4 linked regions of the Macaca fascicularis genome follow. The protein of the gene in region 3 interacts with the protein of the main gene of each other region in a pairwise test. Links are inferred from orthologs where the notes say so. Each region holds a gene or a part of one and is shown on either strand. Other genes may lie near its edges.

Evidence for each region.
Region 1: the proteins of RBPMS (region 3) and AMMECR1 interact in binary tests that used the Homo sapiens proteins (3 or more experiments, as listed by UniProt). The two-hybrid records come from large-scale screens. The link is inferred for Macaca fascicularis from reciprocal best matches to the Homo sapiens genes RBPMS and AMMECR1.
Region 2: the proteins of RBPMS (region 3) and TLE5 interact in binary tests that used the Homo sapiens proteins (3 or more experiments, as listed by UniProt). The two-hybrid records come from large-scale screens. The link is inferred for Macaca fascicularis from reciprocal best matches to the Homo sapiens genes RBPMS and TLE5.
Region 4: the proteins of RBPMS (region 3) and OTX1 interact in binary tests that used the Homo sapiens proteins (3 or more experiments, as listed by UniProt). The two-hybrid records come from large-scale screens. The link is inferred for Macaca fascicularis from reciprocal best matches to the Homo sapiens genes RBPMS and OTX1.

What each region holds. Positions count from the first base shown.
Region 1 is NC_088395.1:116,899,398-116,905,661, reverse strand, and holds the start of AMMECR1 (nuclear protein AMMECR1), read left to right. Parts: upstream 1-2,109; 5' UTR 2,110-2,123; coding exon 2,124-2,596; intron 2,597-6,264.
Region 2 is NC_088393.1:3,761,705-3,767,760, reverse strand, and holds the start of TLE5 (TLE family member 5), read left to right. Parts: upstream 1-1,901; 5' UTR 1,902-1,914; coding exon 1,915-2,142; intron 2,143-2,281; exon of another isoform or gene 2,282-2,644; coding exon of another isoform or gene 2,645-2,671; intron 2,672-2,951; exon of another isoform or gene 2,952-3,223; intron 3,224-3,568; coding exon 3,569-3,666; intron 3,667-6,056. UniProt on the Homo sapiens protein: Transcriptional corepressor. Acts as a dominant repressor towards other family members. Inhibits NF-kappa-B-regulated gene expression. May be required for the initiation and maintenance of the differentiated state.
Region 3 is NC_088382.1:33,702,315-33,707,906, forward strand, and holds part of RBPMS (RNA-binding protein with multiple splicing), read left to right. Parts: intron 1-2,481; coding exon 2,482-2,632; intron 2,633-5,592.
Region 4 is NC_088387.1:58,899,763-58,906,131, reverse strand, and holds the start of OTX1 (homeobox protein OTX1), read left to right. Parts: upstream 1-2,214; 5' UTR 2,215-2,282; intron 2,283-2,636; 5' UTR 2,637-2,705; intron 2,706-4,281; 5' UTR 4,282-4,390; coding exon 4,391-4,487; intron 4,488-5,492; coding exon 5,493-5,644; intron 5,645-6,369. UniProt on the Homo sapiens protein: Probably plays a role in the development of the brain and the sense organs. Can bind to the BCD target sequence (BTS): 5'-TCTAATCCC-3'.

The DNA.
Region 1 (6,264 bases), on a different chromosome or scaffold from region 3:
TAACATAGACAAAATATTAATGCATTTTTTTTTTTGCTCCACTAGTAGTTGACAAAGAATTGTTATTTGTTTCAAACATAAGGTTAATTCTAACAGTGATGAAGTTTGAGAGGATGAAATTATATATCACTGACCAATTAAACTATCTCTTTTGTCTTTTGGCTGCACCTAACCATTCCAGACTTTCATTTGTCTATCTCACAAAATCTTTTTGGAAGGAGATTTTTTCATCTTTCCTTGGTAACATATTTCAGTGTCTCTCAATCTTTCCATAAAAGCTAAGTTATTATTTCTGTTTAACCTCAGTTGCACCTGCTGGAGTGTAATGTCACTATCTTTTGTCCATCAGTAGCCTTATTATCATATATTGTTAGTGAGAGGCAATATAGTATAATGGCATGGTTTTTGGAATCAGACATGCCGGCATTCCAATCCTAGCTCTGTTACTTTCTAGGTGTGTGATCTTGGGCAAATTACTTCTGAGGTTTAATAGCCTCATCTGTTAATGAGTAACCTCAGAGCATTGTTGTGAAGATAAAATGAGATAATATCTTATTCTGAAGGATTATGGGGTAGGACGAGGTATGGTACTGGGCACCTAAAAAACATTCAGTACATACTATAATAGCTATTTATCTGATTATGTGCATGTATCTGACTTAATTCATAAACTCTTTGAGAGTGGGAGGCATACTTCCTGCGCACGCCCTGGATTTCAACAGAAGTATAGTGTTGTGCACATAGTATGGTGCAGAGGCTCAATATTACTGAATGAATAAATTGTTTTGTTTTTATTCCCTGAGTGGAATGAACAGCCCCCAGCTATCTGCAAGATCCCACGCATGTAGATAAGAGGTGACAAAAATCAATCTGCAGTTTTAAAATATGCAGATACCTGACTTTATCTAGATGTTCTAGCATGGTGTAGATACAATGCAAATAACTTACGCTTTCTATCAGGTTCATTTCTACAAATTTTAACATTTATTGTCATTATTTTTATTATTAAGCTACACTTAGGCACCTAGAAAGGGACTGACTCATATGCCTCCTCATCCATCCAAGCATTTAATTGAGAAATTTTTAAAGTGAATATTAAGAGCTAATTATATACTTAAACAAAATCTTTCAATTTGTGACTAAGTACATTACCTTCCCTATTTATCTCTAAGATCTGAGCACTACAGATAATATTCCTAATTGCTTTTTACCCAAGCCAAGAAATAAAAACCAAAACCAGAAAAGTCCACCACTGCAAGTCCCAAAGCACAATTAATATCTTTGAACCAGTGAAGTATTAGTTAGGACTTTATTTTTGGCTTTTTAATGTTTACAAACGGCTAGGAGGGTAAGTTGGGGGAACAAGTACAAGATACATCGATTCAATCGGACTTGAATATTTCTCCATAAGGAAAGGAAAGAGTACCCTGGTGTGTGCTTAGGCTGGAATTAAAAAGAGCAGCGTGGCCATTTCCCCGACTGCTTTGTACATACTTAACAGGGGCGGTCTCAGGTATGGAGCTTCAGGCACCTGCTCGCTCACACTCCAACAGTTCAGAAACCCGTGTATTTGAGGCCGGGTGGCTCAGGTTCCACGTAACTGGGCTTAAGTGTCATTAATACTACTTGCAGCGGGGGTCACTGAGCTGTGCTTTGGGACCTGGATGCTTACTTCGGACTTTCTCCTTTCTTCCCCCCTGCCCCCACTAGTTTCCCTTTCCCTCCTTCCTTCCCGGGCGTGCCCACCTCTTCCCTTAGCTCCCACTTTCCACTATCTGACTCTTGTTTCCTTCACCTTCCTTTCTAATCGGCTTCCTGGCTTCCATCCTCTGCCGGCCGCAGAGATTGAGATTCGGGCTGGGGCTGGGGCTGCGGCTCAGAAGAGGCACGAGTCCGGCGGGACAGGCGCGAGGCGCCCAGCCGCGAAAGCGAGGAGCGCGCACCGAGGCGGGGGCGCGCGCGGGGCAGCCGCGTGGCTAGGCAGACGGGGCCGGGAACGGCGCGCGCGCGCCCCGCCAGCCTCTGGCGCGCCCCCGGCGGCCTGGGCCGCAGCGTGCTCGCCCCCGCCGCCAGCTCGCCTCACTTATGGGTCGGAAACGCTGCGTGGGGGAGACTGTTCCAAGATGGCGGCGGGTTGCTGCGGGGTGAAGAAGCAGAAACTGTCCAGTTCGCCCCCCTCTGGCTCGGGTGGCGGTGGTGGCGCCTCCTCCTCCTCCCACTGCAGCGGAGAGAGCCAGTGCCGAGCTGGGGAGCTGGGACTAGGAGGCGCCGGTACGCGGCTCAACGGGCTGGGAGGTCTAACCGGAGGAGGTAGCGGCAGCGGCTGTACCCTCTCTCCCCCCCAGGGCTGCGGCGGCGGCGGCGGGGGGATCGCCCTGTCGCCACCTCCGAGCTGCGGAGTGGGGACCCTACTTTCTACCCCGGCCGCCGCCACCTCTTCCTCACCCTCCTCATCGTCCGCCGCCTCGTCCTCATCGCCGGGCTCCCGGAAGATGGTGGTGTCAGCAGAGATGTGCTGCTTTTGCTTCGATGTGCTCTACTGTCACCTGTACGGATACCAGCAGCCCCGGACCCCCCGATTCACCAACGAGCCCTAGTGAGTACCGTGCCCTCCGCCGCCCTCTCCCTTGCGCTCGGGATGGGGCTCAGAGTTGAGGCAAAGTGCGAGTCCGCCTCCCGGCCGGCGGATGCCCCTGCCCTCTCGCTGCCCGGGTCCCCGGAGCCACTCAACTGAACTAAGGGCACCCTGCGCTTTTTGCCCTCCGAGGCAGGCACCCCACACTTGGAGCAGGGTGCTGCTGCAAGGGATGGCCCCGTGGCTCCTAGAGGTGTTAGCTTTCTCTTTGCGATGACTTCGAGGAGTTTTGACCCCTTTACTTGTCTTCTTCACCACCCCTACCACCCCTCACCCTGCCCCGGTTTTGGAGATCTGGGTTACTCAAGGTGTTGACCTCTCCTCACTTTGGTTTCCGTTACCCCAAGTGAAAGCCCCGCCAGTATTCCCGCCCCGCGTACCTTGCACATGGAGAACTACTATCCCATTGCAGGGCGAAAAATAGCAAGTATCCAACTTCTGTTAGTGATGGAACTTAGCTCTGGAGCTTGTGAGGTTACCCATCTTTTCCTCTGGGTTTCCTTGTGCCCTGGGAAGGGGGGAGGTTTCTTAAAACACATTTTCCCTTACTACTTATTTTTATCCAAATACACCCATTAAAATGTGTTTCTCGTGAAGCGAGCGCACTGCCGGCTTCCTCACATTTGAAGAGTGAGACCTTTTTTTTTTTTTTTTTTTTTTTTCATTCCACTGTCTGGATAATAGCTCATTCAAAGAGAACTGTCCCCACAGAGCCACTGTCAGTTTGTACATTAAGCGTGCATTCGCTTTTGTGTCGATTTCACTTTTTAAGAAATCCATGTTATACTCGATGATTTGAGAACAGTTAAATAGTAAATGTGTAGGAATTGTTATGGTTTCCTTTGGTTTTGTACCTTAAATTATCTTACCCTTCAAGTGTGTGGTTGAAAATTTTTAAATAGCACTGTTACAGCTAAAAGCCAGGTTAATTCTAATCCCTGTCCATTTGCATGTGTGGGAGATGGGGCATATGGTTTTTTTTTTTAATGTGTAAACTGAATGTAAACTGACTTTTTGAGTTAAATGCTAGACAGAATGTAAAGACCAAGAGAGGGCAGAATGAGAAAAAGTGCAATTGCTTTTATTTGAGTACTTAGCATCAACAAGAAAAATAATACAGGAAAAATTTCAGTGAAACTCGTACTGAAAGGCATCACCCCCTTTTCCAGCTAAAAGTGCCGCTTGTCCCCCATATCATAAATACCTTAATTGATGTTCTTTTAAAACTGCTTCATTTTGTGAGATTAGAGGATTGGACTACTATTGTATAAGTATAAACACTTCTGCCTAGACTAAAATATTAATATGTAAAGTGGAAATTACAATAAAGTGTCCTGGAAATTGTGCATTTGTACTGTTTGTTTTATTTGGCTTTTATTCTTTAAATGTCTTAATTTTGTATGACTCTTCTGTGGTCTGTGCATTTTCTTTTAGACTTGGTTAATCTTTGGGCATTGGTTCATGAGAAGTGCATGAAAGAGCATCCAGGAGAACACTTTGTCAAACAAATATCTTTATAAATTTCATAGTGTTAATTCTAGAAGCTTAAATCCTAAGTCCACACCTTTATTTAGCCAATTAATTTTTTTGGTTAAGAAGTAAAATTGATTTTGAAAAGACTGCCATGTAAAAAAATCTATGAAATATTTATTAGCTTGAGTCACTTATTTGTGACTTTTCTGCCTTCTCTTGGATGTCTTTGATATATTAAAGCTAGTCCTGGGATGATACTTAGGTTGGCTCTGCAAAGTCATGGGACTGCAAAAATTCACTCCTGTTTAGTTCTTGAGCTGTTACATGAGTTTGGCAAAGGCTGCTTTAGTATTCACGCTCCATTGCTCCAAAGCATATGAGAACACACTTTCAGGAGGTGCTATTTTCACACATTTTAAAAGTGAGTTTGGGTTAACTCAATGACTATAGCAAGAATTTTAAAAGGAAAGTGAGCTTGACCAGTTCATACAGAAAATGCTTTTGAAAATTTCATTTTAACAGTAGCCACTTTGCACACATATTTAGATATTATTCTCTTCAAACACCCCAGCCCCTGGATTTCTTTTTCATGGAATTAAGCAGATGATAGGACACACTTTTGACCGCTGTGGATATGTTGAAACGGTGGTGGAAGAAGAATAACTATTATCATTTAGCAGACCTTGAATGTGTCAAGTATTCTATAAAATAACTAATGTAGAGTAGACACTGAAGATGACCAAGTGGAGAATGAAAGTTCACTTAAGTGGAAAATGGACTGTCTTATTTCCATATATCTTCAACTCATTTTTGAGGTGTACTGTGGAAAATTCAGGAAAGCTTCCTCATTATGGGAGGGAAATAACTAAGCATTTCAACAGTGCCTTAGTAAGTACCACACATTTGTCTTTCTGTTTTACATATTTAACAGCATTGTGTACTTATTAGTATTGCTTTATCCTAAGTGCCATAAGACATAAACAGACATACTGGGATTTTTTTTTTTCTCCTAGTTATTATCATGTCATGAGCAGTGTGTTTGCCCACCAGATGTTGTGCTTTTGACAATTTTAACTTCTCATACATAAATGCACACTCTTTTCATCCCTTCCCAGGACTTTTCTCTCAGAATGTCTGTAACTGGTGAAATCCTCATTTTATGGGTTTAGAAGCTCTAGATCCATCAGTTAGTTATCCTTCCACTCAGTATTGAGGGGATGTCAACATATGAACAGGCTGTCTGGATACAAATTCTTCACTGTTGCTCCCATTTTTTGATTACCTACCCAATTGCAGAAAGCATTGTACAGGCAAGTTTGTGCACAGAAATCTGGTTAAAGACATGAGGAAAACTTAACTTTACTGCATTTTGATATTCAAAATCAGCAGTCTTGGATTTATGTCAGGGAGCCCAGAAAGCTATTTTATAGGAACCTGTTTGCTACTATAAAGGGATCCACTGTGCCAGGTGTTGAGCTAGTTAGACTCCAGAGCAGTCATTCTTAACTTTGGCTGCACATTGGAATCACTGGGAAGTTATTAAAAATATTGATGCCTGAGCCCCAACTCCAGAGATTCTGACTTAATTGGTCTTGGATGGGGCCTGGGAATCAGGATTAGTAAAAGCTCACCAGGTGAGTTTAATGTGCAGCCAAGGTGGCGAACCACTGGTTATATTCTGAATCTTTCTCTTGAGATTTGGATAATTGGGGCTAGGGTAGTGCCTTGGAATCTGTATTTTATGAGCACCCTAAATTTCAGTAAACAACCGATTTGAGAAACTCTTGCATTGTGGTCTGCAGAAGACATCACCCGGGAAATCATTACAAATGTAAGCTCTCAGGCCCCGCCTCAGACCTGCTGAATTAGAGTCTGCATTTTAACAAGCTTCTCAGGTGATTCTTATGCACATTCAAGTTTGAGAAGGACTAGTTCTCAAACTTTGTAGTACATCATAATCTATGGTGCTTGTTAAAACACAAATTGTTGGGCCCCATTCCCAGAGTTTCTGATTCAGTTGGTGTGGGGTGGGGCTGTGAATTTGCATTTCTAACAAGTTCCCTGGTGATGCTGATGCTACAGTTCCAGGGCCACACGTTAAGAACCTAGGGAGAGAGAAGTGAGGACCTGAATAAGTACTTGAACGACTGTAATGG
Region 2 (6,056 bases), on a different chromosome or scaffold from region 3:
CTACTCAGGAGGCTGAGGTGGGAGGATCACTTGAACCCAGGAGTGGGAGGCTACAGAGAGCTGATTGCACCACTGCACTCCAACCTGTGCAACAGAAGACTGTGTCTAAAAAAATTTTTTAGGCCAGGAGTGGTGGCTCATGCCTGTAGTTCCAGCTGCTCAGGAGGCTGAGGCAGGAGAATGGCGTGAACCCGGGAGGCGGAGCTTGTAATGAGTCCAGGTGGAGCCACTGGACTCCAGCCTGGGCCACAAAGTGAGACGCTGTCTCAAAAAAAAAAAAAAATTTAATAAAAATATTAAAACACTGCTTTAAAGATTATTAATCTTGAACACTGAGGGCTCTCACCCTTACTTGCCAAGGTAAGGAGGCTGGGGTTCCGGGTCCATTTTACAGATGGGAACACCCAAGGCCCAAATCAGTTGCATTCATCCAAGGGAGCAGGCTGCTTAGTGGATGACGATGATGAAAAGACTGTGTGCTCAGCACCTGCCAAAGGAGGACCTTAAAGGAACAGCCTATTTCAATGGCCTCTTTGGGGCCCGTTCTCTGAATGGCAGAAAGAGGGATACTTTCATAACCGCCACCAGGTCCCATTCCTCCTCTTCCCACGGCTCTCCAGGATTCCCACCTCACTCAGAGCAAAAGCACAAGTCTAAAGCCAGGTGCGGTGGCTCACACTTGTAATCCCTGCACTCTGGGAGGTAGAGGCGGGAGGATCACCCAACGTCAGGATTTCAAGATCAGCCTGGCCAATATAGTGAAACCCATCTCTACTAAACATACAAAAATTAGCCAGGCATGGTGGTACGCACCTGTAATCCCAGCTACACGAGAGGTTGAGGCAGGAGAATCACTTGAACCCGGGAGGCGGAGGTTGCAGTGAGGCAAGATCACGTCACTGCATTCCAGCCTGGGCAACAGAGTGAGACTCCATCTCAAAAACAAACAGCTGGGCAAGGTGGCTCACGCCTGTAATCCCAGCACTTTGGGAGGCCGAGGCAGGTGGATCACCTGAGGTCGGGAGTTCAAGACCAGCCTGACCGACATGGAGAACTCTCGTCTCTACTAAAAATACAAAATTAGCCGGGCGTGGTAGCACGTGCCTGTAATCCCAGCTACTCGGGAGGCTGAGGCAGGAGAATCACTTGAACACGGGAGGCAGAGGATGTAGCGAGCTGGGATCGTGCCATTGCATTCCAGCCTGGGCAACAAGAGTGAAACTCCGTCTCAAAAGCAAACAAAAAACAAACCACCAGGTCCCATCCCTCCTCCTCCCACAGCCTTCCAGGGCTCCCACTTCACTCACCCAAAAACCCAAGTCCTCCCCATGGCCCACAAGTCCTTGCTGGACTGGCCTGCTTCACCAGCTACAGAGTTAGCAGGGCCCAGTGCAAAAGAAAACTGAAAGGCCCCTTGTTCAAAAATGATTAGGAATCTCAAAATGCAGCACTAAATATTAACCCAAGCACAAGCCCTGCTGAGGAGTGGGGGGGCCTGGGCAAATGCATGAAGCCCCAGGCCCTGCCTCCCTCCGGCCTTCCTGACCTCCGCCCTGGCACCCTGATGCCAGGCACAGTCCTGCCCCAGGGCCTTTACACCTGCTGGTCCTGCCTCTGAGTACCTCTGTACCCCATCCCCCTGTTCTCTCTCCTTCTTTGGGTCGTTTTAGGGGCGGAGGAAGCTCTCTCTGATCCTCCCTGCCACCTGTTTAACTTTGCATCTTCCTACCCTGCCATCCTCCCGGCTGGTTTTTCTGCAGAACCGTCCCCACCATCTGACCTGCTGGGAATTCAGCTTGTTAATTTGTCTCTGTCTGTCTCCAGGCACCACCACCAGAGCAGGGACCCCCCACCCCCGCCCCCACCACAGGGCCCTGGAGCAGCAGGCCCTGGCACACAGTAGGCGTTCTATAAATGTGTCGCAAGAATGGCTTCCCTGAGAAAGGCGGCATTACCGCTGCCTTTCTGCAGAAAAGGAAACTGAGGCTCAGCGAGAACCACCGCCCAGCCAGAGCCAAGGTCACAGAGCACGTCCGTGGCACGCGTCCAGGTCGTGCCACGGCAGGGCTGGCGGCTTCGACGCGGGCAGCCGGGTCCCTTTTCTTTGACAGATGGGGAAACCGAGGCCCGGCCTGCTGCCGGGTTGGGGGGGGTGGCGGGGGCCGCGGCCCGGGGCGGGGGCGGGCGGGGCCCAAGGTCACCGCGGCGGGCGGGCCCTGGGGAGGCGGGCCGGGGTGGGGATCCGCAGGCCTCCCCGGGCGCGCGCCTCCCCCCCCTCGGCGGCGCGCACGGGGCACGGGCGGCGGCGGCAGGTGGAGCCGGAGCCTCTGCATCAGCCGAGCCGCGGCCACTGCCGGCGTCGCCGCCATTAGACAATAGCGGTGGGGCCGGGGAGCGGGGAGGCGGGCGGCGGGGAGGGGCGGGGAGGGGCGCCGGGCGCGCAGGAAGCGGGGCCCGGGGCGCGCCGGGGCCGGGCGCGCGGGGAGGGGGCGCAGGAAGCGGGCGAGGCCCGGCGCGGGAGGCGGCGGCGGCCCCGGGAGCTGCCGATCGGCGCCGGGACAAAGGCGCGGCCGCCCGGCGCCCCCAGCAGCCCGAGCCGGGGCGCACAGCCGGGGCGCAGCCCGCGCCCCCTGCCGCGACTGACATGATGTTTCCACAAAGCAGGCATTCGGTAAGCGGGGTCCGTCCGGCAGGCGCCCCCACCCCGGATCCCGGCCCTGCGCTCCCCACCCCCGGCTCCCGGCCCCGCGCCCCCCACCCCCAGGCCCGGTGCCTCCGGCCCGGCACCCCCCCCAACTCCCCGGCCCTGTCTTCCCTCTCCAGCTCCAAGCCCGGCGCGACCCCCCTCCTGCCGCCGGCCCCCGGACACCCCCCAGTTCCCGATCCACCCCAGCTTCCGGGCCCCGAGCCCCCCCGTCCCAGCTCCCGGCTTGGCGCCCCCCCCCCTCGCCGGGACAGGCAGGGCCTCGGACGGCCTTGGCCTCGGGCCTGGGGCGCTCCGGGAGCCCCGCCAGGCACCTCTAGCGCGGGGATCCTTTGGGGGCCTGTGGTGGGGGGGCGATCCGAGGCGCACCCCTCCCGGAAGAGCGCGTCCCCGAGGAAGGGCGCTGGGAATCTGGGGTGGGCCCCCCGGGAAGATTTCGGGCGCCGAGAGACCCCTCCCCCAAGAGGGCTTTGCTGGGAGGACTCGCTGCCCCCCAACTTGGGGAGGGGGCTCCCTAGGGTGCGTATCCACCCCCCTCGGATGTGCACTCCCTCCCGGCGCTTTGGAGGGGCGGTAGAGGGCGCACCCTGCCCCCCATCTAGGGCAGGCCTTAAAACGCACCCCCACTGCTTGGAGGTGGCGGGGGTCGGGGCGGCTCCGGGCGCACCCACCCTCTCGGCTTCCCCCGGGAGAGGCGGGGGGCAGGAAGCGCGGGTGGGGGCCGCGCCAGGGGCCGTAAACACGGGCCCAGGAAGTGGGGCAGGAGGGGGGGCGCCGCAGCTGCGCGGCCGCTCCCTCCCGGCTGGCCCTCGAGGGGGGTCCAGCCCAAGCCAGGGCCTGACCCGGGCCGCCCCTTCCCCACAGGGCTCTTCGCACCTACCCCAGCAACTCAAATTCACCACCTCGGACTCCTGCGACCGCATCAAAGACGAATTTCAGCTACTGCAAGCTCAGTATCACAGGTGAGCTGGGGGGCCGAGGGTCCCTGCGTCCCGAGAAGGTGAGCCCCCCACCCCATTTCTTCTGCGCAGATGGCAAGGCTGAGGCCTGGAGGGGAGATTGGGAAAATAATGTATGCTAGACTCTGACCTAATACTTGACAAATAGGGAATTCATTTTTTTTAAACAGCTGCATTCTGTGGAGGACAAAACTGAGGCACAAAATAAGTTAAATAATTTGCCCAAAGACTCAGCTGTGTGGCTTCAGAGCCCCTCCCTCCTACCCAATCCCCCCAAGTCCCCCCTTGGATAAAAGACAATTGGAGTTAGGGCACAGACTCGCCGTCCCCCCAACCCCCAAAACAAACATTTTGCAGCCTGGTCATCTCTCTTTGCCCAGTTTTGGAGAAAGGGTTCCCAGCATCAGTCAGATTCTCCCAGGTGCTTCTTTCAGAAATCTCCTGGCGTTTCTGAAGAGCTTGCCATGCTGTGGTATCTAAGGGGAAGGAACTATTTAGTCCTTTTACACTTAAAGAAATTTAATCCCAGGCCGGGTGCCACCGGTGGCTCACGCCTGTAACCCCAGCACTTTGGGAGGCTGAGGCGGGTGGATCACTTGAGGTCAGGAGTTCGAGACCAGCCTGGCCAACATGGCGAAACCCCGTCTCTACTAAAAATACAAAATTAGCCGGGTGTGGTGGCAGACGCCTGTAATCCCAGCTACTTGGGTGGCTGAGGCAGGAAACTTGCTTGAACCCGGGAGGCGGAGGTTGCAGTGAGCAGAAATCGAACCACCACACTCCAGCCTGGGTAACAGAGAGAGACTCGGTGTCCGAAAAAAAACAAAAAAAAAAAAAAAGAAGAAGAAACTTAAGCCCAGAGAGGTTATTTCCTCGGGGATGTCCGTAGCGTTGAGGAAGTGGCAAGGCTGAGGTTTGCACCAGGTCTCTCTCCTGGTTTAAGGTTTAAGGATACAGATTTTCACCTGCCCTACTCTGGAGGGGCACGCCGGGCCTGGGAATCTGGAGGAAGTCAGGCTACGCTCAAACCCCCGTTTGGCCTTGGGGCCCTCTCCAAACTGAAGTGTGCCCACCCCAGAAATGTTCCTGGAAGGATCCTGGATTCCCTCCAAGTAGAAAGGGGAATCTCAATTTTGTTGTTGCTATTGCAAATATCCAACCTTTTTGGGTGCTCCCTGTGTGCTAAAGACCATACATGCCTCCTCAAGCTTCATCTTTCTTGTTGTCCGACTGTCGTACCCATTCTCAAGATGGGCAAACTGAGACACTGACGGTCGAAGGCGCTAGAGTCGGCTTTCCACGCAGGCCCCAGAGCTTTTGTTCGGGTCCCTCGATGTGAAGGGTTAGAGACCGCCTGGTGAGCCCTGGGGCTGACCTGATTCCACAGGGAAGGGATCAGATGGCGGTCACAGTGCTGTGTGACCTCTGCTAAGCCGGAAGCCCTCTCTGAGCTTTGGGGTCTCCATCCGCTGGGCCTGCGCTTCCTGCTACCCAACGAGGGTCCCTGCCATACAAGGCACGCACCAGATGTTCGAGGTATAACAGCCACTGGGTGGCCGGATCACCCTATTTTTCAAGAAAGACCAGAAATCCAGGGTTTGAAGTGAAACTGTTTTTGTTGTTTTTGTTGTTGTTTTGTTTTGAGACGGAGTCTTGCTCTGTCACCAGGCTGGAGTGCAGTGGCGCGATCTCGGCACACTGCAACTTCCACCTCCTGGGTTCAAGCGAATCTCCTGTTTCAGCCTCCCAAGTAGCTGGGATTACAGGCGTGCACCACCACACCTGGCTAATTTTTGTATTTGCAGTGGAGATGGGCTTTTTTTTTTTTTTTGAGACGGAGTCTCGCTCTGTCTCCCAGGCTGGAGTGCAGTGGCGCGATCTCGGCTCACTGCAAGCTCCGCCTCCCGGGTTCACGCCATTCTCCTGCCTCAGCCTCCCGAGTAGCTGGGACTACAGGCGCCCACAACCGCGCCCGGCTAATTTTTTGTATTTTTAGTAGAGACGGGGTTTCACCGTGGTCTCAATCTCCTGACCTTGTGATCCGCCCGCCTCGGCCTCCCAAAGTGCTGGGATTACAGGCGTGAGCCACCGCGCCCGGCCTAGATGGGCTTTCTTTATGTTGGCCAGGCTGGTCTCGAACTCCTGACCTCAAGTGAACCACCTGCCTCGGCCTCCCAAAGTGTTAGGATTACAGGCGTGAGCCACTGCACCCTGCCCCAATTCTTTTTTTTTTTTTTTTTTAATGGTAGCAACAAATGCACGTTTTAAAAGAAACCTAGAGAAAAGTTGGTGGCGGCCAAAGCATCCTCAACCCGGCACACTTGTCTCTGGTGGAGCAAAATGCCAAGCTCTTGGGGTATCCTAAGATCCACGTGCATTTATAGGATGCTTAC
Region 3 (5,592 bases):
TAAAAACACAAGGAATTTTTTTCTCATGTATTCTTCCTCCTGCCTCTTTTTCGTCTTTCTCTTTTTCTTTTTTCCCTTTTCATTTCTGTGTTCTCCCTTCTCCTGCCCCTCTTTTTTCTCCTCTTCATCATCCCTTAACATTTAAAATGTTTTTGGCTTGGCTAATCCCTATGGATGGAAACTTAGCTGAGCAGGATATTGATTACCAAATATGGTATTGCTGCTAAAGATGTTAGAGGAATGTGGCTTGTATTCTAAGCCTCCGGCCTCTGAATAAGCTGCCAAACAAATTAGGTCATTTTAACTTCTGAGCTTTTTTTTTTTTAAATAAGGATGCTGGAACTTTGATTTGGAACATGATGTTGATGTTATTTTAGTTCAAATGGAGGGGGTATGAAGAAGGGGGCAGGGAGTAGGGGAGACTTAGTTCAGCATGTTTTAGGACTCAAGCCACCAGCCCAGGTTGTGTAAGAGGCAAACACATTATGTGGAGCTTCAGTTGATTCTGGAACCACCAGAGAAAGAACCGAGGCATAGAATTCACATGTACAGCCTCATTTTCTGAGGCCAGATGCTCTAGACTACGACCAGGTCCCAGGATACTCTTCATGTTATCCCCAGTGGCCTGGGCCACAGGACTTATCTTAATGTGAGCTCAGGTTTAGGAAAGTTGCTTCTTCACAGGAAGGTTGGTCAGGTTTAGTGCCAGGGAGGACGTCCTGAAGTTGATGGCAAGTTGCTACTATGTGTGTCTGATGGAGTGTGATGCGATTGAGCAAGTCCTTCCACAGCATACCTGTACTTGAAACCCAGGGACTGTGCTTGTCTCCCAGCAGAGACCACAGTTCTTACCTCCATTCTTGGAAATATTTATTCTGTTGTAGTATTAGCTTTGTTAGGGTTGAAGTTGGTCCACCTCAGTGAGGTCCTTTGTGACCTCACCTCAGCCTGCTTCACAATGCAGCTTTGCTTTTTGTTTTTGTTTTTCCTTATGTACTTTTTGGGCAAAATAGTATTGAGGTTTCCCAAATTTAAAAAACAACAAAACAACACAACACCAGTTAAAGAAAATGTTCTTATGTTTCCCAGAATGGGCACTATCTGTTCACTTTTCGGTGTTGATTAGGTATGCACAAGGGTATCCTCCACATCCCTTTTGCTACTGCCCTCAATTGGTTTCTTCTCAGAATGAGTGAGTCATGCTCGGGAAGAAATTCCACCCACTCCAAGACTTCTGGGTCAGGGCTCTGTGGCTTTTGTTAGGCCTCCCTAAGGACCTCTCTTTCCTTCCCCTTCACCCCTTATTTCCTGTTAATGCCATTACTATCCAGCCACAGGCTCTTCCTTGTATCCTTGAAGCTGAGCCTGTGAAGTTTGAAGTTCTGAGTTGTTCATCCTGGTCTCTAAAGTAAGAGAGTCTTATTTTTGTGGATATTTCTTTTTCTTTCTTTTTTTTTGAGACAGAGTCTAGCTCTGTCACCCAGGCTAGCGTGCAATGGCGCGATCTTGGTTTACTGCAACCTCTGCCTCACGGGCTCAAGCCATTCTGTCTCAGCATTCCAAGTAACTGGGATTACAGGCACATGCCGCCACGCCCAGCTAATTTTTTTTTTATATTTTAGTAGAGACAGGGTTTCACCATGTTGCCCAGGCTGGTGTTGAACTCCCGAACTAAGGCAATCCACTCGCCTTGGCCTCCCAAAGTGCTAGGATGACGGGAATGAGCTAGGGCATGAGCCACAGCACCCTGCCTGCTCTTATTTTTTTTCAAGCTCATTAGGAAGAACGGTGGCGAGGGGACGGGGGATGCTTTGGAGCCCTCAGGCCCATGTGTATACATTCAGAACACTAAATGGCAACTGTGGTCTTTGGAGACTCATTTTCAGGACTCCAGTCCCTTTCCAGACCCCACCATGAAAACATGGGAACTGAGTGGGTCCCATGGGTGCATATTTAAAATGCACTCTCTTGGGATAGCTTTTTGACATGTAGGGTCCAGAATTCATGGTATTGGATGCTTAATAATGAAGACATTCTTGAATGGTGGAAGGATTCCAAATAGACTTGTCTTGCCCTAACTTGTCTTTCATAGTGTCTGTGATTTATTTTACTGAATATAATCTGTTTTAGGTAAACTGCAGGAATAGGGTCAAAGGTAACTGAAATTACTATACATTAAAGTGTATAACTGTGCTAGGAATTTCCTGGTTCAAATTTTAAACTGGAAAGTTTTTGTCTAAAAAGAAAAGGAATAGTTGAAAATCTGTGTAACTACATTTTTTAAGTAAATTAAATACCACTGACTTTCAGGACACTTTGTGTTGTCATTTTTCCTGTAACCTGTGTAAGTAGTAAGAATGACAGTGGTTGCTGACCTTTTTTCCTGATAGACCAGGGTTTACTGGTGTGTTTATTTTGTCACCATTCCGGTTTGACTCTAAGGAAATGAAAACATCTTCCATTTGTTCTCTGTTTCCAAAGGGCATCCGCTTCGATCCTGAAATTCCGCAAACACTACGACTAGAGTTTGCTAAGGCAAACACGAAGATGGCCAAGAACAAACTCGTAGGGACTCCAAACCCCAGTACTCCTCTGCCCAACACTGTACCTCAGTTCATTGCCAGAGAGCCATGTAAGTCGATCTACTTTTCATTTAAAAATAATAATAACTAAGAACCGTTCGTGTGCTGCATGTGAGGTTACACCACGGGACATGGAGCTGGCTGAGTCTTATTTTCCATTTCTGTGAAGAGGTTGCCTAGGCGTTCTTGGTGTCAGAATTCCAAATACAGCAATCTTGTTTGCAATAGGCTGTCCCAAAAGATGGTTCAGCTTGAACAGAATCATAACTTCAGAATTTCATTTGATGTACTACAGATTTCCTTAATGTGACATTGACCATTGTGAGTATGCCCCTAGTTGCCTTGGGTATAAACCCTTTATTTCTCCATGCTCAGACATGAGAGCTGGTTCTCAGCATTCACTTTAATCCATTTGTTGAAGGACATCAGCTCGGTGGCTTTGGAAAAATAGGATATTAAAAGTGAAAGAAGCAGATCTTAGGAAGTTGGTTCTATTCAGTTTAGCCATAACTCTAGGGGGAAAAGTAAACACACACAAAGAATTTATATATTGGAACAGTCAGTCTAGCAAACTAATACCAGCAAAACTTTAAGGAAATTTGGGGCTTCCTGTTTCAACTTAATTGGATAAGGACACTGGCTGATTGCTCAAGACATCTTCTACCCCACATTAATAAGCTTATTTCATTATTTCTGCCTTTCATTGAATAACTTTAAAAGATTGAATTTTCTTTCTCAAGCTCAGTCAGTGGCAGAAATGGGGCATGAGACAGGCCTTAACTTTTCCTTTCATTACAGAGCCATACGTGATTTAATATGGCAGGGCATTCAAGGAAACCCAAATGACTTGGATTCCAAGTTATTTGGAATATTTCTGTCCTGTCATTTTTGGTCTGCTTTCGAAACCACACGATTGTGATCTTCTTCCTTTGATAATACATTTTTAACTCTTCTTATTGAAATTGAAGGACACATGGATTCCTTGCTCCCCCCATGTCACATGCATGTCAGATTTAATCAGGTTATCTTTGGAAGTCACAGCCATTCTGTAGCTCAGTCACTCTTGCTTGCTACTCATCAGTAGAAACTAATAGATAAGTCTTCCAGAATGTTCTAAAATAAATGTTTCTATGAATCCAGAAAGTCATAATAGATGAAAAAATTATTTTGTTCTTTCACCTTCTTTGTCCCAGGGAAACTAGAAAACTTTGCTTACTTATTTGGGAAGGAAATCTAAACAAAAGTTACATCTTACAGTGTACTTGTAATACAGCAGAATATAGGAACATCCTTTACATAATTCTTCATCCTTAGAGTATCTAGCTTAATACTTTGTATATTGTATGTATTTAATATTTATTATAGTGAGTGGATAAATTGATACTGAAATTGGGCTACTTGTAGAACTACAGATGGATTTCTATGCCTCTTCTCTCTGAAATTTCTTCTCTCTTGATCAAGGCATCAAAAAAGAGTATTTTTAGGATGCCTGAATTTGTAAAAATAACCTAAAGTAATTCTTTGCCTTTTTAGTGAATTTGCCAACCTCAGATCTCAGAGTTCTTTGAAAAGATTAATTCAGACAGGAAACGTAATGCTGGTGATACTTAACTTTACATCCTCAATTCTTTGCTGAATGCTCTTTTTAACAGGCCCACAAAACTTTTTGTGAATTTCCTACAACAGCCCTGTGACATAGGTAGCCAGGAAGGTTGTAGCCAGGTCACAACATGCTATACAAAAGCAACAAATAGGAACAAACTGAACATTCACAAGTCCCTGAAGTTACAGGACAGCATAGTAACCGAGCTTAGAACTCTTTTCTGGCAAGCTCTACTCATCTCCCTTCCCAGCATACAGAACAGTACAAAAATGGCCAGATAGTTTCCATGACAGGGTAAAAACTTGCTCAGCTGTTGACAGCAACACAAATTTGAAGTTTAAATAAATAAATAAATAAATAAATAAATAAATAAATAAATCCAAGCAGCCAGCAGTGTATTCTTGAGGAAAATAAAAGTCAGCATGATTTATCTTAATATAGCTCATTTTTACGACACAACGTCTTGATAAGAGCAAGTCCACTGTGGCTCAGGTCAACTTTATTATCCATCGCCATTCCCTCTGGGAACTGGGAACTTGCCCGTCAGATAAACTTGCTTACCTGGAAGCACACCGCAAGACTAAGAACACTGTGTTGGGTTTACACGGACAAGCCCAGTTGCATTGTACTCAGAATTGGGTACTCAAGGTGGTCGGTTTAACTAATCAGGTGTAGACTATAATGGAATTGCAGAATTTGGGGATTGGAAAGGCCCTGAAGGCTAATCTTTGTTGTAGGCCATAGAGGTTTTTTGTAAATGTTTCTTTTTGTTAATTTTTTATATGGTAGTGGCTGAAAAGCACTCGTTGCCATCGCTAAAAGAAGAATGTTCTGTGGTTTGATTATACAACAAACATGTACTTGAACTCTGAATTCTCCATATATCTGAACTTAATGAACTTAAACGAGCACCCAGTGTGCTGGACTCTGGAGAAGAAGGAAATTGGTTGCTGCCTTTAAAGAGCTGTCATTCTGAGGAGTTGATGATAGTCAAAGTTGTCAGAAAAACTTGGTCTCATATGAAGGACATAAAACAGATTCTGCAGCTTGGTTGAGATTGCCCCCAATCAGACTCCATATTTGCTGAGCACCTACTGCATTTGTGCCAGGGATGAAGAGTGAGAAAACCAGGTGTTGCAACTTAACCTGGGTAGATGGTGGCCTGCTGTGGAGAACTTTGGCTTCAGGCCAGAAGATGTCAGTGAGAATCCCGTCAATAATTTTGCCAATTATTGACAAGCTTTGTGACCTTTAAGAAAAAAATTTTTTTTAACTTAGTAGTGCTCCTATTCTCTAAGCTATAAAATAAGAATAATACTTTCTGATTGTTAGGAGAGGTAAATAAAACAATATCCTAGGATTGAGCTGAGGATTAAATAGGTATAGTGTATTTAGAGTACTAGGCAA
Region 4 (6,369 bases), on a different chromosome or scaffold from region 3:
GAGGGCCAACCCCTGCACACAGCGGACTGGCCCGGACTGGGGCAGCGCCGGGCTATGGACGCAGACGCCGACGATGCGCACCCCGGGACGTCCGCATGTTCTTTTCCCCAAAACTAGTGCGCTCTAGCCTGCGCCTTTCCTCGGAACCTAAGGCGAGGGTATATTTCGTTGCTTTCTTTAAACCTCAGCACGATCACAGTGGCTCCGAGCCGCGGGTGGCTGACCGCGGGCCTCGTGGGCTACTCCTGGTAGGGGCCTGCGCGAGCCTAAGGTGTGTGCCCGCCTGGGTTAGCGCTGCGCTCTGCGCTGTTTCTTTTCCTCTTAAAGCTTCTTTCTCACTCACTCTCTCCCTCCTTCTCTCTCTAATTTTTTCCCATTTCTCTCGTTCTTTATTCAGCTTTCTCTCCCTTTTGTGAATGGGCCGCGGTGTCTTTGTTCTGGAGAGAAGCGCCCGTGTCGCTGACTTTTGTGAACCAGAGAAGGATCTTGTAAAACCTCCTTTTCTCCTTCGTACGCCCCAACTCCCACCCCTCCTCCCCTGCCCCTTTGATTAGATGTTCCCTCATCGTCCAAAAAAAAAAAAAAAAAAAATGTAATTTCGTTGGTCTGGCGGCCACTTTCTTTGAACATTAGCTCGCTTTCAGCTCCAACTTCAATTAGAAGGAGTTGATTTTGAGAGATCAACAAAAGAACCGACCAAAGCCTTATTAAAGGTCCTAAGAAGATCTCCCGGGTCCTTTGAGAAGCAGTTAAGGAAACAGTGTGCCCTCCATCATATTCTGTTACCGTATTTTATTCGGACTCCAAAGGAAAGTGTCGCTTGGGGGAGGGGGAAGCACTTTGATGAGCGGCGGCCGCGGCCCCTTTTCACTCAGCGGGCTCCCCCTTCCTTCTCCTCCTCCTCACCCAGCGCCCTGTCTGCTCTCCGCGCCCGACCCCGCAGCCTGGGCAGCACGGGTGCTCCCCACTGCGATGCGCCTGGAGGCTCCTTGACTCGCCCTCACACTTACTCCTGTGCAAACTTTTTACCCCGCCTGTCGGGGTGGGGGAGTGGGGAGATTAGAAACAAGGGGTAGAAATTCCTCGAAAGGGAATAAAGTGCCTAATTTTCAGAAGGAGGTGCCATTTAAAAGATTCTCCTAGCTCAGAGTTGGAACGAAAACTCTTTTTTGCACTTTTAAAAGTCCACCCAGGCAGACGTGTTTGGGAAGTTTGTTCCACTGGGAAATGGGCTTCGCCCGTACGAACAATCCGGGGAAATCGCCTCAAGGAGGCTCCTTACGCAGCATGTGGAAAAAAGTTGAGGGCAGGGGTCTGTGGCCACATTTTCCATCAAAAAGTCCCTGTTAGAGGCAGACTAGGAAAGAGAGAGAAAGAATGAAAAAGAAACTTTCCTATCAAAATGTTTGAATTAAGAAGTAGGGTGTACATGTGAGGGCAAGAGGACGCTGGGCTCCAACGTTTCAGAAGAAGCGCTTAAGGCTTGCAAACACCCTTGGTGGGGACCGGGAACCCCGGGAGATGCCGATGAGCAGGTAAGTGGCTGTGCCCTCCCAGTGGGTGCTCTTCCCAGGCGCGAGAGTCCCGAGGCGCCGAGGAGAGATCTGCACGCCCGGAGCTGCTCCCGCGCTCTGCAAAGTAGCCTGCGCCGGCACGAGCCGCCCGCGGCGTCGGTCTCAGGTGGCGGTGCAGAGGAAGAAAACGCTGGGGCCCGCGGCGCCAGGAGAGGGGCCGAGGCCCGGGCTCCTCCAGCCCGCCGCCCCCGGGTCCTGGCGCCCACACCCGGGCGGCTGAGCCCGGTGGCGCGCAGGAGAGCGAAGGAACCGGTTCTCCAGCACCTCTCCTCGTCTCTGCCACTCCCTCCGGAGCGCCGAGAGCGCGAGAGAAGGGCGGGGGCGCCCAGGGAAGGCCTGGAGACCCGCGGCCCCCTCCGCGGCCAGGACTCGGGCTCTCCGCTCGCCTTCCTCGCCTAGCTCTGAGCCGCTTTTGCCAGCCGAGTCCCGGAGTTAGCGCGCGACCGGGGCGGGGCGGGCGGGAGGGGAGGGCGGGGTGTGGGGGGCGGGGGAGGGCGGGGGCGCGCGGAGGTAACCCCCGGCTCGCGCTGCCATTGCCCGGCTCCCTGTCACTCAGCCCGCGCGGGGCCCCCGATTGGCGGCCTAGCCCCGTTACGCACTCGCCTCGCGTTCACATACCCGGGGAGGGCAGTAGAAAGGTGATCAATCTTCATCAGGCTACATTTCCAATCACCTAAACAACCGAGCAAGACAAGCCACTCCGACAAGGTAAATCGCTTGATTTATTTAGTTTGCAAAGTGACTCTGCAGGACTTCCCAGTCCCCACTGCCTCCACGTTGCACCGGGAGTGCCGCGGTAACGCCGAGCCACCTCCCAACTCTGCCCTCGAATTCCCCCCCTTGCGGCCCCTCGGCGCGATTCCGGGCGAGGCAATGTCCTGCCTGAGAACGTGTGGGGCTTAGCAAACAAAGTGTCTGTGCAATAAAGTGAAACCCAGAGGGACACGCACAAAGCCACTGAAAAAAAAAGATAGAGGTGGGAGGAAGGAAGTTGGGAAAAGAAAGAAACCCGGGGTCCTAGACCAGCCGCCGGGGTAATTCCTGTGCCGCTCTGTTTTGCAGGTTGGCTGCCCGGCGGGTCTCTGTGAGAGATCCAGGTAGATGGTGAACGTCCCCGGCAGCTGAGGGCAGGTAAGGAGAAAGCCGCGGGACCATCCCGGACTCCGGGAGCGCGTTGGTTACCCTTACCTCCCCCTCCTCAAATGGATCCCCACTTCCCCGGTCACCAGCAGGTGGGCGGGGCTGGGGGAGCGGCCTAGCTCCCCTCTTGGTGAGCCGAGGACCCCGGGGCGCTGTCGCGGCCCGCCGCTCCCTCCCCCGCCTCCTCCGAAGTAACCAAGCTGAAGTGCTAAGTTTGGAGAAAGTCTTTGAAAACTCACGCTGCAGCTTCGCAAAGCCGTCGCAGCTTTGAGTCCCATTTTTCTTCGGCCCTAGAGCCCTGGCTGCTTCTCTTCTCGTCCCCTTCCTACAAGCTGGACTCCCTCAGCCCAGGTCTTGGATCCCAGAAGACCGGGGTGGGAACGGGGCAGGGGGGAGCTTCTTTAGCTCTAACTTCTCTCCCTGAACGTCCTAGCCCGAGTCCCTGGCCTGCTTCACAGCGATCCCGCTAAGCGGGGTGTAGCAATGGCCCCCCAGAGCCCCAGGCCCAGTTTCCAGCGCCCCTCCCTGACCCCTGAGAGTGCCGCCCCGGGTTCCCGGCAGCGGCGGGGGCGAGGCTTCCACCTCCCAGCTCGGGTCTGCGTGGGCTATGCCGCTGAGGCCTACTTCTCTGTTCTCGACCGTGTCCTGGGGCCGCGGGTTCAGCTACAAGGATGACAGCACGGGACTTGCTGCCCTCCGGCTTTGCAAATCCCCGAGACCCTTTGAGGTGCTAGGTCAGTCACCCTTCACCCCCTGCTGGGACCCTGTGGTCCGCAGCACAGACTGGACAGAGAAGGCCGGGTGCGCGCTGGCAACGAAGGACGCTGGCCGCAGCTGAGACGCTCCCGACCTCAGGCCGCGTCTTGGGGTCGCCCCCCTCTACAGTGGCCTCTTCGGCGTCCCCTGGCCCTCTGCGAGGCCTGGGCCGGTTACTGCGGTTGAGGTGTGGTGGGATTTCGCGTCAGCGATCTTTCAGTGGCTGGGCACAGAGAGGTCAGCTGGAATGGTGATTGCGGGCTCTGGGGCAGGGGCGCAGCCCTGGAGACCTTTGAAGGAACCAAGTGTCCTAAGTGGACAAGAGGTTGAGGTGCGGTTAGCCCTCCACATTGCCTCACCTTGGCCCTTTGTAGTCTCTACCTTTTCAAAAACACGTGAAACAAAATGAAACAACCCCTCATGCTCCGGGAGGCCTGCCGTCCGGGCACCAAGTGAACGTTTGCTTGTGCAACATGAAGCTGGCTTCTGCCGGATTCAGAATTTTGCCTGGACTTGGGAGCTTGCACACTCCGCGGTTCTTGCTCTGACCTCCCCAGCCTGGCCTGGCTTTGACTTCTCCTTACTCCTATGGACTCCCTACCAGTGTCTTTGGCTCATTCCAACGCTGGAGCCAGACGACCCAGAAAACTTTACTTTTCAAAGCAACTGTGGTTTCTGGGCTAAGGCCTTGTGGATTCCAGTTGACCACCCTGCGCAGTTCTGTAACCTGCCTTCCCTGTCTATCCCGGGGCAAGACTTGGCAGCCAAGTGGCTCCGATTGATGGTTTCCGTGTGTCTCGTGTCTTCATAGGCCAGGCCCCCAGACGCATCAGACCCTGAAGGACTGCGGTGGGAGCCCTGCACCGCTTCTGGCCCCAGGTCCCCTGGATCCGTCGGGGCGCCTCCACCCAGCTGTTAGCATGATGTCTTACCTCAAACAACCCCCATACGGCATGAACGGGCTGGGCCTGGCTGGGCCCGCCATGGACCTCCTGCACCCATCCGTGGGCTATCCGGGTGAGCACCAGCCCTCCCGACCCTGCTTCAGCCTCTCCAATGTTGGGGCCCCCCAGACTGTTGGGTTTGAGTGCAAGCTTTGTTGCCGAGCAGGCCCAGGGAGTCAGCTATTGCAATACAGGGCCCACTGCCTGTTTACAATACAGGGCCCACTGCTGGCGCACGGGGCAGAGTCGTGGGCATGTGAGGTGGCCAGGGCTGAGAAAACGCGCAATGTGCGCCTTCCTGGCCGGGTCACCGGCAACCTTTCTCCTGTTGTGGTCCCACCACCAGCGCAGAGCTCATTTACCTGCGGATTCGCTACCCAGGGGCGGCTAGTGTTTTTCCTTTTCCCCCAACATGGAATGAGTAATCTGGACACTCGTTAGGCCCTGACAGAAAGAGCCAAACTTTCCTTATGCGAAGCGGCAGGCTGGACTGAAGGAGTATTCTTCCTTCCTAATTAAATTGTCCTCTAAATTGATGTCCTGCATCCGTTTTTGCACTGCTGTAGAGGACGACCTGAGCCAAACCCGGGGTTCTTTAGCTCCGGCTCCTTTACCCCATTTATTTTCTCCGAAAGTGTTTTTCAGGTCGTGTTTCTGCCTACCTCTTCCCCACTCCCTGTCCCCTAGCCAGAGAGAGAGAGAGAGAGAGAGAGAGAGAGAGAGATTGTGTGTGTGTGTGTGTGTGTGTGTGTGTGTGTGCGCGCGCGCGCGCGCGCGCAGGGGAGGGGGAATGTGGAAGAAGGGAGATTGTAGACTTCTCTTACTTTTTTTTAACCTCTGAGAGGCATAGAGAGGGGCAGCCCTTGAATCTTGGAGACACTGGCTTCTAGTCGCACATCTGCACTTTCTCCCACCTGTGGCCTCTCAGGCTCGGCCGCCCGAGGGAGTGTCTTTTATTCCCAGTTCGGCTTTCTCTTGCGAAGGCCGAGCTCTGGGCCTGCCAGGGGCCTGCCCGAGTGCTCTATCGCTGGTCCGCGTGGCCACCAATGACCCGCGGCGCCCCCGCGTGTCCCCGCAGCCACTCCACGGAAGCAGCGGCGGGAGCGCACCACCTTCACGCGTTCACAGCTGGACGTGCTCGAGGCGCTCTTCGCCAAGACTCGCTACCCTGACATCTTCATGCGGGAGGAGGTGGCGCTCAAGATCAACCTGCCGGAGTCCAGAGTCCAGGTGCGCACTCCCCGGGCTCCAGGGTCTGGGTAGGGGAGCTGAGACTGCTCGGGGAAGGTCTGGGAAGGCTCTTGAGGAGTTCTTGAAGAGACCGTCCTCTGGGGATGGGCTTACAGACTGGGCAGCCCCTCTCGGACTCCCCCTAGCGCTGGACCCCAGCCAGGAAAGGGGGCAAAAGTTAAAGGAAATGGCTTAGAGCCCTGAATTCCGCCCTTAGCCCTAGAGCGCCTTTCGTATCGGTATCGAAAGTACTTTTCAGAATTGCGGGAGGACTAGGGAGGCTCCCGAATGTAAAGCGCCCTGCAGGCCTGACACTTGCCCCTGCTTCTTTGCCTGCCTCAGGACTTGGCAGTTTCCCTCAGAGGCCTGAATTCTGCCTCTGCCCTTGTCTTCCACCCCGGGAATCCTAGAAATGGAAGAGCGGAGATTGGCCGGAGCCTGGTGCTCTGCCTGTGTCTCATTAGACGCTTCCTCTGCTTACAGAGGATGCCAAGTGCAAAATCCTGCTGCCGGCTTTCTTATTTCTGTTTTTGAGATGAAAGGGTTCCGATGATAATGTTCGGATTCTAACTCAGAACTCTCCTCAAGAGCCATTTGTTTCGCCTCCTTTACTGGAAGGCTTGAGAAAGGGGACCAGGAATGCAGTGCCATGTGCTGGGGCTTTCCCAGAAGAGTAACCATTCCATGTGGTTCCCCACCTGGAGCCAAAAGTCCAACGAAATCTC